Lepisosteus oculatus: one gene and its partner. The protein of the gene in region 1 purifies or fractionates together with the protein of each later gene. This does not show direct contact. Links are inferred from orthologs where the notes say so. Each region holds a gene or a part of one and is shown on either strand. Other genes may lie near its edges.

The links.
Region 2: the proteins of skp1 (region 1) and fbxo36a purify together in Homo sapiens (affinity purification with mass spectrometry; 3 studies listed by BioGRID and IntAct, with this or other methods). This does not show direct contact. The link is inferred for Lepisosteus oculatus from reciprocal best matches to the Homo sapiens genes SKP1 and FBXO36.

The regions. Positions count from the first base shown.
Region 1 is NC_090706.1:23,941,255-23,948,911, forward strand, and holds the start of skp1 (S-phase kinase-associated protein 1), read left to right. Parts: upstream 1-4,536; 5' UTR 4,537-4,647; intron 4,648-5,381; coding exon 5,382-5,478; intron 5,479-6,179; coding exon 6,180-6,253; intron 6,254-6,822; coding exon 6,823-6,966; intron 6,967-7,657. UniProt on the Homo sapiens protein: Essential component of the SCF (SKP1-CUL1-F-box protein) ubiquitin ligase complex, which mediates the ubiquitination of proteins involved in cell cycle progression, signal transduction and transcription.
Region 2 is NC_090708.1:16,106,072-16,113,848, forward strand, and holds the start of fbxo36a (F-box only protein 36), read right to left. Parts: upstream 3,201-7,777; 5' UTR 3,165-3,200; coding exon 3,069-3,164; intron 1-3,068. UniProt on the Homo sapiens protein: Substrate-recognition component of the SCF (SKP1-CUL1-F-box protein)-type E3 ubiquitin ligase complex.

The sequences.
Region 1 (7,657 bases):
TTTTTAAAACTGGGGTTGAATCAAGCTGTTTTATAACATCCCTTCTCTTTGGATGCAATCTGGCTTCAATTATTTAAATATCAAACGCTGAGAAAAACTGGAATGGCTCACGTCCAAATAATGTAAGCAGTTCTTGAAGAAAGGCAGCAATTAGAAGAACTGTTTCCATGTGTGACTACCTTTGTGATTCCTTTTCCATTTTGAACAAATCTGTTCAATTTCCTTCTGTATAGATTATTAACAGAAGTTGAAATTGTTTATCAAATTAATAATAGTTCTGACGAGATAAAAGACTGACATTTTACTCTGGTTACATAAAATAATCAGAACCTAGACTCAATTATTTGGATTTTTTGTTTGTGAGCCAGACCTCAGTTATTAGCTCACATTTTCACCAGATGAATGCAGATGCAGCTTCTAGGATAGCTTTTGTCTCTCATGGGGAGCTATGGGGCCCTGCATTCAATTCCTGGGGTGCTGTCTGTGTGGGGTTTGCATGTTCTCCTTGTATTCACATTGCTTTCCTCCCACAGTCCAAAGACGTGCTAGTAGGTTAAGTCTCCTGTAAAACTGGCCCTGGTGTGAGAGGGTCTGTGTCTGTGTGTGCACTACACTTGACTGGTGTATCCTGCCTTGTACCCAATGCTTCCCAGTAAAGGCTCTGCTCCACCATCCTGATATGGATAAGCAGTTATTTAAATCATTGGTGGTGGTGATTATGGTTAATTCATGGTAAACTCACACTTGTATAGTGCAAGAATAGCTACATCTCTCCACAGAGTATTACACCCTATCACATTTTACTGGTCACACGTAAATCAATTTGTAGAGACTTCAAAGTATATGTGACATTTGAGAAATTAAAAAAAGTGAATTTGTTTAATTAGGAGAGGAAGGCTGTCAGGTGTGGTCATCACCCCAGTTTGGGCATTCACCCTTTATGTGTGCTGTTCCTTATTCACTCACTTGATAAACCAAGAAACTGACAGACAGTTCATGTTCTGGGAGTCAAAGCCACGCCACACCAACCCAGGAAAGTCAATTCCATATGATCCATCTGCAGGGTTTTCAGACTATAGTGGCTACAGCATGAGAAATGGCTCGAGGAACCAGTGCATCAGTGCAATGACTGCAGCCCATCGACTGCATTTGCATGATCTGCATACTTCGTGGGGTAATGTTGACAGCCAAGAGGTGAAATCGCCATCCTCTGATCCAGAGCACAACTTTGGTGGTGCTGAAGAGACTAGTGGAGCCATTTTGCTCTTCACAGACCTGGTGGTAGTGGGTGTGTGGAAATGTCGGGGTGAGTGCTATGTTTATTGTTGAGTTTTTCAAGCCAACCAGTGGGGTGGTGAATATTTGAGGACTAGAGTAGGAACCTCTTTCAACACAAGGACACCTCTGGTGCAGACTAAGGGACACCTTACTTCTCAGAGCTACTTTGATCAATTCTTTCCGTTGCAATAATAATAAAAAACATTATGTTATGTAACGCCTTTAAAGGTGGTTCTCAAGGCGCTTTACAGAACAACGGGAAGATTAAATACACAATGAGGAGACGGTAGATGGGAGTACTGAATACGGTATATGCAGAGGGGTATATAACAGAACCAGTTAAGTAAGAGAAAGGTTTTGAGTGTAGATCTGAAAGATTTTAGGGAAGGTGACTCTGATATCCTAAGGGATAGAGTTCCAAAATTTTGGGGAACAACAGGAGAAGGCCCTTTCACTCATAGTGTGTATATGGGCTTGGGGGACAGATAGGAGACCAGAATTAGAAGAGTGGAGGTTGCAAGGTGGGGGTAGGACGATGGTAGCTCAGACAGGTACTGAGATGCTAAGCCATGGAGAGCCTTACAGGTGAGCATGAGAATTTTGAAGTTGACACTAAACCTGACTGGAAACCAGTGCAAGGACTCCAGGATAGGAGTAATGTGATCACTTGCACTTCTGTTATTCGCTGCTACAGGACGGTCTTGAATTGTTGGCTTTTTTCACAGAATGACAGCACATCGCTCAAATTCCTATGGTACCCCTTAACGAACAGGTGAGATCTTGCCATTGTCATCTTTTTTCTCCTGTTCTGAGCATCTTTTGACATCTGTGGGGAAAAACAATGTCATTGACAGGAGACAGCCCTCCGCTACTTGCTGAGTTTGCACAGGAAGAGCGAGAGAATATCTGCTGTATAAGTCAACACTGCAAGCCATGTTTGCATTAATGTGCAATGGAGTCATACCCGATAACTCGCAATGTTTTTTTTACACTGTCACGTTTAAGACTGAACACTTGTCATGAGTACCTGATCTGTAATCATTGATCTGGTGTGTGTCTAAAAGTGTTCAAGATTCACAAACTTGTCGATATTCTGTATTCTTTCTGTAGGTAATTGTTTGCTGTTTCACTTTGGGATTTCTTGCTGTTTCACTTAAGGATTTCAAATCTATGTTTTCCTTTAATAATTCTACTTGGGGTTTAGAAATCTAAAAGGATAATATATGTGGAATAAAAATATGGTGGTGTGATCCTTACACATTTTGAAGATTACTCCTGCCATCTGGTGGCCAACCGGCCTACATCTGTCTCATGTTCCAAGTGTCTTAAAAGTTGAATTACGCAATTATTACTAGAAATGTGGATTCACACTTAATTATGATTCATTTAAAGATTAACCCCAAAGATTATAAAGATTATAAACATGAATAGAGTGTGAAAGAAGTGTTTTTATGTCCATATCACATTAAATAGTAGAAACTTGATTTTCTTATTTAGACTTAGACATTTTACCACCATGTTAATGTATTCACTACCACATTGACTGTTTAGATGCTGAAAAGCATTATTCATTTTGCTGTTAGGAATTTTGGCTGATGGCTTACATCGTCAATTCATTAGCACTTCTGAAAATACAAAATATTTAAAGAAATATATTTATTCTAGAGGGGATATTGGTGAAAGTATCGTTGAATCGTTTTCTAATTTTTGATTGTCAAATTGGGTACAAAATTCTTATTTTGTCTTACAGATCATTCAAAGAAATTCACTGAGATTATAAAAGAGCACTCTTACTGAAATGATTGAGATAAGTGACCACATAATTCTTTATCACAGGGACAAGCAATATATCTCTAGTAGGGCAGGTGTGTCTAGTGGTTAACTATGTGTCTTGGAAATAGCAGCACCTGAAGAGCTGGAATATTGTTGATGTGGTCCTATTAAGTCAATAATGAGCTGATTTAGGATAAGATCAGAGATGGAATAAAATCCTGAAGACTCACCAACAGTCCTGCACCAGGATTGGCCACACCAGCAAACATAATTATCTAGTTAAGATAGTTAAAAAATAAATCCATCCATTTTCTAACTGCTTCTTCTAATTCAGGGTTGTGGAAGAGCCAGAGCCTATACCCGCAAGCAACAAGGGTACACTCTGGACAGGATGCCAGACCCTCGCAGGCAGGCAGACAGACACATACACACACTCACATTCACATCAGGGCATGTTTTCCAAAAAACCAATTAACTTACCAGTGTGTTTTTGGACTGGTTTTGGAGCACCTGGAGAAAACCCATGCAAACCCCACGCAGATAGCATCCCTGGTCTGGGCTCAGTGGTCTGGGCTCAGGGCCTAAGAGCAGCAAGGCAGCAATGCTAACCACTGCACCACTGTGTCACCCAAATACAAAATAAACATCTTGGCTTAAACCGGAATTGTCTCTTTTTTGGAAATAAAAGTAATCTGAACGTGCACTGGTACTGGTATGACATTCTTCAACAATAATGGGGCATTGTTATTGTTCACTTTTAATCCCCATACACACAACAGAATAATAAAATTAGAAATGTCAAATTAATTTCACTCTGTAGTGATAAGGCAAGTGGCAGGAAGAGCTACAGGTGAACCTAATCAACACAAATTTCCTAGATATGAAAAAAATCAGAGGCAACCTATAACATCAAATTAGTTATTACATCATTATACACATAACATTATTATAATGTATCCAAATCTAGTTATCAGTAACAATATAATTTATTTTTTAGCTCTCATCAGTGATTTACGGGGTAGATAATTATTTATCTATATGAATCAATCCCAAATAATACAATGTTTGATGGAATAAATCAAAGGACTCAGGTTAAAAAGTGACTCAACTCAAACAGTAATATATTTATAGCAGTATTTTTTTTCGACAAGTGGCAAGAATGATCGGATTATTTAACAATACAGCCGATATTTTACAAACTCAAAATTGAAAGGATCAGAAAACGCAAGACCAAGAGGTTTCGTTTTGAAAAGACACATCACTCCTCCATTTACTGCATATTCTAGAATAACGCTGATTGCAGTCTGGGTGATTGCCTGAACCATAAATAAGAAGATATTTTAAATCAGAAAATCTAAAAGTAAAGAAGTAATATTATTTTATAAATAGTCAAACTGGTAATGTTTAAAACTAATGCAACGTCAATCAAATTAAAAAAAACATAGACCGCCGTGACATAAATTAAACCGGCAATATCAGAAGACAGCTAACTTCGTCGTCTTTCGCATACAAAAGCAACGGATTATAGTAGTAGTTGCTGTATTTGGGCCTTGCTATCGTGTCGTCTTGTTTTTGTGAAATAATACCATATTCACCGTAAGTCAGTAGCTGAATTGATATGTATACTATACGTGTTTTGTTGTTTTTTTTTATTTTAAGCAACCTCTCAATTTATCTGTCTGGCTTAAAACAACAACTGCTTACTGTAATGAATTACTGTTGCTAAGAGAGGCCTTTCTCGTGAGGCGCTTTCTTTATCGAGAAACGTTCCGTGTTGACGTTTAAATAATTGGCTTTTTAAATTCAGATATGTTATATAAAAAGTTCTATTATGGATTTTTAGCCATAGTGGTGTGTTTCTAAATTAGCGAAACCTTGGGTATAAGTGGTGGTAACGATATTAATGGCATTCTTCAAAATGCTAAGGTAGAAAGCTAAATTGGTTGTACAAAGAGCAAAGGGTAGTCTTTACATTATTTGTATAGTGAAACCTGTAAAGGCATATTTAAAAGACCTTCAAATTGGTCTCTTCTGTATATTCGTGAGCTCAGTAATATCGTGTCCGCTTAGTCTGTTTTGTGGCTTCATTACGCTGAAAATCATGCATCATCATTATGACAAGAATGATTTTTTTTTACGTACACATTCAAATCCGTTGACAAATAACTTAATACTGAAATAATGGTAGTACTCAAACGTCTCGATTACTAAATATGTTCTGTTTACTTAAAACATAAGCCGTTTCTGTCCAGTATTGAGGTGCTTGGGGCTAAATACAACATTTAGTTTTAGCTAGATGTCACAAAATCTCCACCATATTTACTTTTCAGATGCCTACTATTAAACTGCAGAGTTCTGATGGAGAGATATTTGAAGTTGATGTTGAAATTGCGAAGCAGTCTGTAACCATTAAGACTATGTTAGAAGGTAAGAAGTTCACATAAACTCCTGTGTATGACGTTTTCATTGTTTAAACTGTTAAAACATGAATTTACAAAACCAAAGGAGATTTGTGAGAGGAAAGAACTTCTCAAAGCAGTACTTTGTAGTACTGAATTTGTTACTGTTAAGGAAATATTTTTTTTTCCTCTCAAACATAGCATGTTGCTGTAGAAAACAAGGGACTGTTGTCAGTTATCAAGAATTTTACATTATTTTGTTATAGTTATTTTGAATAACTGAATTTTGGGGAAGCATAATGGGCCTTAGTTTAAAGTTTTTTAGATAAGGGTCTGAGAGGATACATATAAGCTATATTTTTAAGGAGAGTGTCCTAGTTGTAATATGCTCTGTTCACTTTTTATAATCTGCAAAAGAAATAAGATTTTTTACTGTTGAGAATTGTAGTGTACAGCTAGAAACAAGTTTATTTTTAGTGGATTATGTAGAGGATTGCATAAAAGAAAAGCTTGGAAGTTAACAGGTTTATTTCTTCAAGGACAGAAGTTTGTTTTACCTTTTTTCCCCAGAAGGGGAACTGTGAAATGAATAATTGCAATGGTTGCCTAGTCTGGTTGTGTAAACAGACCTTTGGATCATTTATGGGTCCTCAGAATTTTAGAAAACCTGCTGGAAGGTAGATCTCATTTTCTGACATTGATATACTGTGTTCGCTAATTTTGGCACAGACTTAGGCATGGACGATGAAGGTGATGATGATCCTGTTCCACTTCCCAATGTTAATGCAGCTATTCTGAAAAAGGTAACGTTTTTTATTTTCTAATTTTAAATACAGTATGTCTGTACATATGGCTAATAAAATGGTCTTATATACAATTTCTTGCATTAGGAATTTGTCTTTTCGTATACCCCAGCTTGCTCTCCATGAGACATAGAGACAGGGAAAAATGTTTGGGGGTCAGAGCGCAGGGTCAGCCATTTATACGGCGCCCCTGGAGCAGTTGGGGTTAAGGGCCTTGCTCAGGGGCCCAACAGAGTAGGATTCCTCTGCCGGCCACAGGATACAAACCGGCAACCTTCCAGCCACAGACACAGATCCTTAACCACAGAGCCACCGCACCACCCATGTCTTTCCACGGGATAGTTTCTCATAATGAAGTAGTGAGTGTAGCTATAACATTTCGGCTGGATGTTAGATTAGCCCGTAGTTCCAGGGAATTCTGTTTCTTTGCTATGTTCTGGTATGTACTGTATGAAATGTATCCATGCTCCCTTCAGATAATTACAATTGAAATTAATAATATATATGAATTTATCTGAAAATTCCTTTCCGATTCCTGAAAACTTGTTTTTCTCCTTTTAATTGTTTAGGTGATTCAGTGGTGCACTCATCACAAAGATGACCCCCCTCCTCCTGAAGATGATGAAAACAAAGAGAAGAGAACAGATGATATCCCTGTGTGGGATCAGGAGTTCCTGAAAGTTGACCAGGGAACACTTTTTGAGCTTATCCTGGTGTGTATTATTAATTCTTCATTGGGTTTGAAAAGTGTGAACATTAATGTCTTTGTAGGTTATTTCAGGTACTTAATTGTCTAAGTGTGTGCTTAAGAGTTGGTAATAATTAGTTAGAAACTCAATAAAATTAGATCACTAGGCTCCTTGCTTTTGTTGTAATTTATAACAGCAGTGCAAATAGTTGTCCACTGAAAATATAATCCAACTTAGTGATTCAACTGTAAAGCACAAATTGGTTTCTTCTGCTTGTTTGTATGAGTGACTTGTGTTCTGTAAAAGTAGTTTTACTTGTAAGGCTGTTGTGAAATTCTTGGCTCTGATGTGGCTGTTTTGCAATCAGTATAGCTGTCCCACTCCTGTTTTGTTATGTAATACATACTTAATTTGTAATCTGAGCACATTTGACCTTTGTGAACTAGCTTTAAATGCTTTGCATCTTTTTCCAGTACGTTGCTTTACAGAAGTCAGTGTCATCTTATACACAATCAGGAGTTGCAGTTTCTATTTTAAAGCATCAACAAATTCCTCACAACCTTCTCTCATAACTCAAATAAGATCCCGAAACAGAAGCAAAACCTTGTTTAATGATGCTTTTCCAATACTTAATCATTTTAACTTGGTATGACAGTAGTTTGAAATAAGTTACAATTTTGATGTGTTTATGAAGAAGAGATTAAAACTGAGTCAG
Region 2 (7,777 bases), on another chromosome or scaffold:
AAATGCACACAGAGGAGTCTAAAGTACCTGTAAGTACCCAATACTCTATACCACATTGTTAAGGCCAGAGATTCTCCTTTAAAATGTGAATACATATAGTTTTTTTAGGTAAATAATTGTTCAAGCAAGCATTATTGTGCCCCCCCAGTAAAAAGTAAAACATACAAAAAAAAGTAGAGATATTCTCCATTTATCTTATTTCATATTCATTCAATATTGTCAAAGCGGACTATGACCTGTCATTAGCATTTCCCCATGTACTGGTTGCCATAGACACATTTCATCCTATATTTCAGCGGCTGTCACATGTTATTATAGTAAAAAGGGATTCTAAGATGAACAAAGACTGTCTACTGCCTCTTCTCTGGAGATTTAACCCTTTAATCATGACACTAGCCATATACCATTTACCACAATTGACCCTTTTGCTAATTAATGACAGATTTATACTGAGACTAAATATTCTTGATTTCAACTCATGCATATTTATTTCCGAACATGCCAATTAAGGGATAGAATTTCCTTTATATAGAATTTATATATGCAATTTCCAGTATAATGAAAAGCTTGAGAACAATACATTGCAGATGTCTACACACTGATATATATTGTACAAAACATACTGTACATCAAGAACATTTAAGATTTTTACCCAGATACAATCTCCCACAAATTCCAGAAACTGTCAGCAATCAATCCAGAATAAAGAAGATACTGAGTTATATAGCAAATGAAAAATATCAATTCAATATTCTTATAAAATAACAACATATATCAAAAACACATTGTTTTGGAGGATATCACTGCAGAAAGATGTATTAAAATGTATTAAAAATAAAGACCATTTATTTCATTAATATTCTCTCAAATAAGGTGTCTTTGATGGCACGAATCAATCTAAAATCATTCAAATTTGAAATACAGAGGAAACATGATTCTTAAATTTAAACGTGCTGGCTATTTCAGGGAAAAATGTAAAATCCAAAAAACTAAGCATTAACTTGGCTGAATAATTATGTTGTAGAGGAAAAAAAACTGCTGTAAAATGGGAAGATTAAACACTAAACTTGGTGAACAATGCTGAAGACAGATATTTGTGGAAGAAACTAGATGTCCATCCCTATGGACAGTAAATGAGAACTTTTTGAAGGACCTAAAAGACACTCTGGGACAATGAAAGAAGCAGTAATTTAGGAGTCTGTATCCTTCTATGTTCACTGCGCAAGGTTTTCTCTTAAGTGTTTCTTTAGATGATCTAGCAGAGACTTAGCAGGGTGCACTTTGTGCTGTTAATTTTGTATGAAAACAGAAATGCATAAGAAATCCTAGAGGATGAGGTGAAAGAGGTCATTGGGCCCATGTTGAACATCATGTGATGTCTCAAATAGAATAGATATCTTAAAATAGAACAGATGTCTAAAATAGAATCAATAGTGTATTCGAGAGGGCTAAACTACAAATTTCCACAGCTATTCCATTCACTGTTCATGAGAAGAAGAGTTCTGAAAAGCTTCCAAAATTCACAAAATCCAACATGGCAGCCAACATAACCACATTTCCCCAATATCACTCCCTTCACACAGCTATAGCCCCACTAAGGTTAGAAAAGTTCTTTTGATGTGGAAAGTGATTAGTCCACATCACCCTTCATTTGTTGAAAATGCATAGAAATACCACAATTGAATGAGCTCATGTTTATTGAGAAACCCACCAAAGTTCAATTGGTCTAATGCTTATAGAGGAGTTGCATTTGAAGGTGAAGGTGTATCATGAGACAATAATGTTAAACTTTATTTTACATAAATGCTTTACAGAATGACAAAAACAATACACAAGATAAAACACAATTACGATTTACAGAGGAGACTTTGGATGGTGGTTCTAAGTATAGTAGGATACTTACTTATATATATATACTATAGTAGTATATAGGATGGAACCTCTTAAGTAAAGGCTCTTCTAAAGAAGAGGGTTTTGAGTCTGGATTTGAAGGAGTTTAGAGAAGGTGACTCTCTGATATCCTTGGAGAGAGTTTTCCAGAGCTTGGGGGCATAACAGGAGAAGGCCCTGTCACCCATAGAATGTAGACAGACTTGGGGAACAGATAGGAAAAAAGAATTAAAAGAGCGAAGGTTGCAAGGTGGGGAGTAGGGCGATAATAGTTCAGACAGGTACTGAGGTGCCAAGCCATGCAGAGCCTTATAGGTGAGCATGAGGATTTTAAAGTCCACACAGAATTTGACAGGAAGCCAGTGCAAAGACTGGCTTTCAGGCATAGCACTGATCTGTTGCATGCAAACATCCCCTAACAGTAGTTCATTGCAGTGCTTCACCACATTTGTGAAGATTGATGGAAATAACTGCAATGATGTTGGTAATGTTTAAAACGTCAGAGACATTTACAATTTTGCCTATTCTACTGTTGGTGGAAGAAACAAAAACAGGCTTCTAGTCATTCCAGCTTGGAAACTAAGATACACCTGGTTTCAAGTGGATGTGAAATGTAGACATACTATATACAGTAGGAATATAATGTCGTTAGTGTTGGATGAAAATGGAAATTGTTCAGGTGGTTCATTCAAGGCTGCAAATCTTAAAAACTATCAACAGTTAACCCAAGGGGTTACATCCAGCTCAGCAATAAATCAGGACAGAAGATGTATATTTAAAGAATGAAAAAGAAAGCACCATTTTTACACTGATGTGGCCTGTCTTCACATCTCAGTCAAGATGTTGAAGCCAATTCCATGGACCCTTCAAAACATGTTTCAAACTTCGATAAGATTCTGTGATCCAGCTGGTTTTACTATAGGAACCAAACTAGTAGAAATGGTCAAATTGACAGCGTCTTTTCAAAGTAATTAACTACATGAATCTGAAAGATAAGGTTTAAGTTAATAAAATATACAGACAAACACATTCATACAACCCAATAGAAGCAAACTGTACAGATGTTTATTTACCTTCCTCATCTCAATGTTTTGTTTTTAAACGTTAAGTGCAAGATAAGCAACAAAATACACTACAGTGCGATAACTTTCTTTGCGAGTCACATTTATATTACTTACATCAGTCTTTGTTACAAGCAACTGGTAAAAGTCTTTGTTAGGTGCAGGACCCTGGCCGCTCGTTTCAAACACGGTTTCTCCCAGCAATGACGCCATGTTTAGACGCTTTGTCGTTACCACGGCAACGAAAGGGACAACGGACCACTCTTTTTAGAATTCTAAAATAAAAAACAAATAAAATAAAAAATAAACATTTGTTGGATTTTTATAGAAAAGGCATGCATTTACGGGGTATCTAATTAAACGTAAATGATCTCACTGACAAGGTGTAAAAAAACCGCAGAAAGCAAATAAACAGTTTGTTAATATTACAGGGTCATGACCCTGCGGAGGGATATTTCTCAGACACTTTAAGCGCAGATTAAAAGGAATAATAGATCTGTTATCTTTAATTAAAGAGGCCAAAGATGGACTCTCATACTTACATTTTTAATGTTAAACGCCCTTAAACGTTGAATAAAAGTTGCCTTTCTCCTTGTTAAGTTAAAGTAGTTCCTGGCGGAAGAAGGGGGGCCGCTTCAGCGGAGGTATACTGCAGTTGCAGGTCCCTCAGCTGATGTGAAGGTAAGAGCTGAGAGAGTGGAGCTGCTGCACTGTCTGTAACAACAACTACAACACTGGAACAAATAGGTAATACCAATCGTCTATCAAGCCTTCACTAACGTTGGTGTAGTGTATTTACGGGATCGTTTGAAGGCGAGGACCTTGAAATATAAAGGTGGGGAGGTGATACAGTTTCGCGAAAAATATGGATTCCAATTGTCATCTCGAATCCTGTTCCTGCTTTCCTGTTTTTTTCTTCTTGTGATGCAAGCAGTGAAAACGGGGTTCAGAGGCCATTTCGTTTTGTAATTGTACAAATTGCCATTTTTTGTTTAAAAAAGCCAGCCATGCCCTTTCCTCTTTGTGCGAGAGAAGCGCAAAATGAATGTTTGAGATCTAGTGAGTGAATACAACGCATACTACGATGTGTTAATTATAAATATTTACGTGTCACTTTTTTTACAATTAAAAATTCGTGTGGTCTATTCAGCCGACTTCTCCGTCATAGCGATCGCGAGAAAAAAATGAAACTTTGCATTGCAACACAATGTCACCTCACTGGGTGTAAAACATTTGTTTACGTAGCTTCTTCTCTCTGAAAATACGTCTGTTCAAGCAAACTGTCCTGACAAGAAAGCTTTATAGAGGTGCAGACATGATCAAGATATATGATACGAGACGCGTTCTTAGTAAAGCTGAGGACGTTGTAGATCTAGTTAAACTGGACCGACAGAATTCCTTCTTAAACGACCCAGATTTAATTAATTCCTTGCGTATGGAAGATCACTCAACAGCTTTTTAAACCTACGTATACAGATAAAGGCCATTACGCTTTAGGTGGCTGCTCACCTTTTATTAATCTCATTTGTTGTTTTACAACCATGATTTGTATTTTAAATTGTATGATTTAAATCTATGCATCACTTTATCTAGGGCTCACTCGGGCTGTGTAAACGTCAGTGAAAGCGTTGCACAACATACAAAGATGCCGTGCTCAGTCTAGATCCTGAATCTGGATTAAGAGCCCTTTCCTGGCCATATCTGTTCAATCGAGACCGAGGCTGTTCGTAAGCGGCAAGGCCTCGGCCAGGAAAAGAAAGAAATTAAAAACTCTTGTGTAGGTTGTCTGGACAAGTAACATTTACGTGGGTGCGAATGGGTTTGAATGAACAAAAACCAGAGTTATAAAGAAATATACTTAACTCCGAGATCGTCTGGACATATTACTAACATAAACAAAAGACGAGGAACGATCTGGCGGCCTACGTAGGGCCTTAATAATTGTCGTATTTTCAGAGTATTTTTTTCTTTGAGACCACTGGTTATTACAGTGTAAATTTATAGTTCTGTACATTAGTAAAACGTTTTTAATGAATTATAGCCTGGAGTCGAACAATGTTTTTTCTTTACGTGTGGTTGAATCTCGCGTAATCATCTTTCTGGGTTTTAATGTAAGCATTTCGTAATGCTGACCTGCCTCGGATATCATGGATTAAAACAGTATTTTTACTCATGACACATGTTCTTTTTCCAGAGCTTTTATCCCCCCCCTCCCCACAAAGACGCCTCTGACCCACACATTGTATTTACAGTTTGATCTACTGTTATTGCACTGTAAATCAGTTTCTCTTACATGTGCTTTTAAGGAACACTGGTAATACTGGGATATTTCTGAAGTTGTCAGACTAGTTCCATGTACTGGTTTAACTGTCCGAGTGGTCTCATCAGTTTAGAATTTGCATGTATACTTCTTAAGGGGTTGGGTACTGTATATACTGTTTAGTTTCTATCTTGAAAATTATGAAATCAATTATAACATTCAAAAGAATGATAATCAAAAACACTGAGTGGCTGAACAAAACCACATCTGCAAGATCAAAATATTCCCCGTTAGAGTGTTAAACAGCTACTTCATAGCTCTGCAGAACAATCCAGTTTAGCTAAACTTAGACTTATTATAAGTTAATCTTCTAAACAAGGAAGCTTATTATTGCTTGTGAGATCTTCCTTTATTATTCTCATAGGGCAGTTGAGGAAGTTCTTCTGGAGGTGTTGGTGGGCCTCCACTCATAGAGCAAACTTAGCTCTCTCTAACTCAGTTGACTATAGGCGGCATCACAGACTGTCCACCCTGACTATTTCTGATAGGAACTTATGAGTCATGGTGAGAATGGGCTTCATTGCTATGCAATTTGCACCAGAAGCCCCAACGAAAAGTACATTAATCATTAGAAGGATACCATATTGGTTCCTCGGAACAATAGTGCTGCTTCATGAACAGTATGAGTAGATCAGTGTGTTAATTGAGATAATTTTATGAAGCCCTCTGTGAAAATTTTACCCTGCCATGTCATCACCAAATGTTTCTGAGACCAAAGATTGAAAGTAGTGTTCATGGGGGTCAGCATACACATCCATCCAGCCATTTTTAACCTCTTTATTCAATACAGAGTCATATGGCAGCCGGAGCCTATGTTGGCAAGCAAACGGTGGAAGGCAGGATATACCCTGGATGGGACGCCAGTCCATCACAAGACACACACACAGACACAAACACTCACTCACACCAGGGCCAGCTTTTATCCCCAGGATCTCGTTAACCTACATTGTCTTTGGTCTGTGGGAGGAAACTTATGGGAACATTGGGGAACACATACAAACTCCACGCAGCTACCATCCCAGAAATTGAAGCCAGGGGCCCTAGTGCTATGAGGTAGCAATGTTAACCACTGCGCTACAGTGCCTTCCTAGTGTACGTGTGTTTTGCAACTTATATTTGGACTCAAAATCCCTTAGCATCTTACTTCCATGTTGCATGGAGGACACACAGGTCTATCCTTTTAATGCTCTGTTCTCAAAGTGACACAGCTAATCAGTTGTCTGGCTTTGTTGCAAAGTAACATATAGTTGCAATTTTATTTTGGCTACTTTTTATTGGGTCACATACAGGGTATCTTGATGTAGTCAACAGTTAACGATGCTCATTGATGTCTGTGATGATTTCTGATCTCTTTGAAATACTGCAGTTTGTAGCTTGCACTTTTGCAGACAGACAATTTCATAAGTTACAGACCCTTCACAGTTAATAGAAAAACATTATTTATGTCATCCCAAATGATTGTTTTATGGCAAAGGGAATTTATGACATTTTAGGTACAGAACATCTTTAAACTTCATTATGTCGTACACCTGGTTATGTTGTGAGCTTAAATCACAAAGTGACTTCTGTACCCCGGTAATCCTCAAGTTAGGTTTGTCTTTGTTGAGTGTTTTGAATTTCTTCAAACAAAACTGTTTTTTATTAAAAATTAAAAATGAAACAATATGGAAAACTAAATTTGTAAGGCCGTTAACATACAAAGACCTTGTAGAATTAATCTATTTTTAATGGAAAGGGTTGTACTGTTTGAAAAGGTTTAGCATTTCTGAGTTAACAGGAATTTTATTCTGATGTCGTATGGGGGAAAGGGATGATTGTGCTTTTGTGTGTTAGCTGTGGTTACCAGCTAGCCACCAGTGGCTTGTTTTTTAGGAGTATTGAGAAGTGGCTGTTTTGTAAAATGAAAAACATTGAGAGCAGCGAAAGTTAATAGTAAAACGTAGCAACATATCAGTGAATTTCAAACTGGAGTTATAATGTAATAACAAGTGCATTCAAATCCCCATGTCAACTGAATGATGTATGGCTGAAGTTGCATATTGCTGTTTTGAGAGATGATTCTTAAAGTTCAGCTATTAAACTTAATGTAATGAAATCAGAGACTATATGTCTTGGTTCCTGTAAAGTGCATAGTAGATTGTTTTTTGTTTACTTGGATTTTGTACATATTGAACTTCATCAGTCATCATGATCAGCATTTAAAGTACAAAAAGCATTAACTTTGCCCTGTGTAAGTACTACTAAATATTCATCCAGATTTAGGTAAAACAATTAGCTTGTCAAGCAGGAAAATTACATTTCAGTGATTGTCTACTAGCTGTGAGTTAAAAGGTAAGTTGCTTCTTGTACTTGATTTATTTATAGCCTGTCTTCCACACTTGGGGCAGGAATGTGAACAAAAATATGCTAATGCAACAAATTATATATTTGTGAGTCACCACAGCGTCTCTGTCTGTGTTTTTAGCAGATTGACAAAAACATAATTCATAACGGTTTCAACAATTCT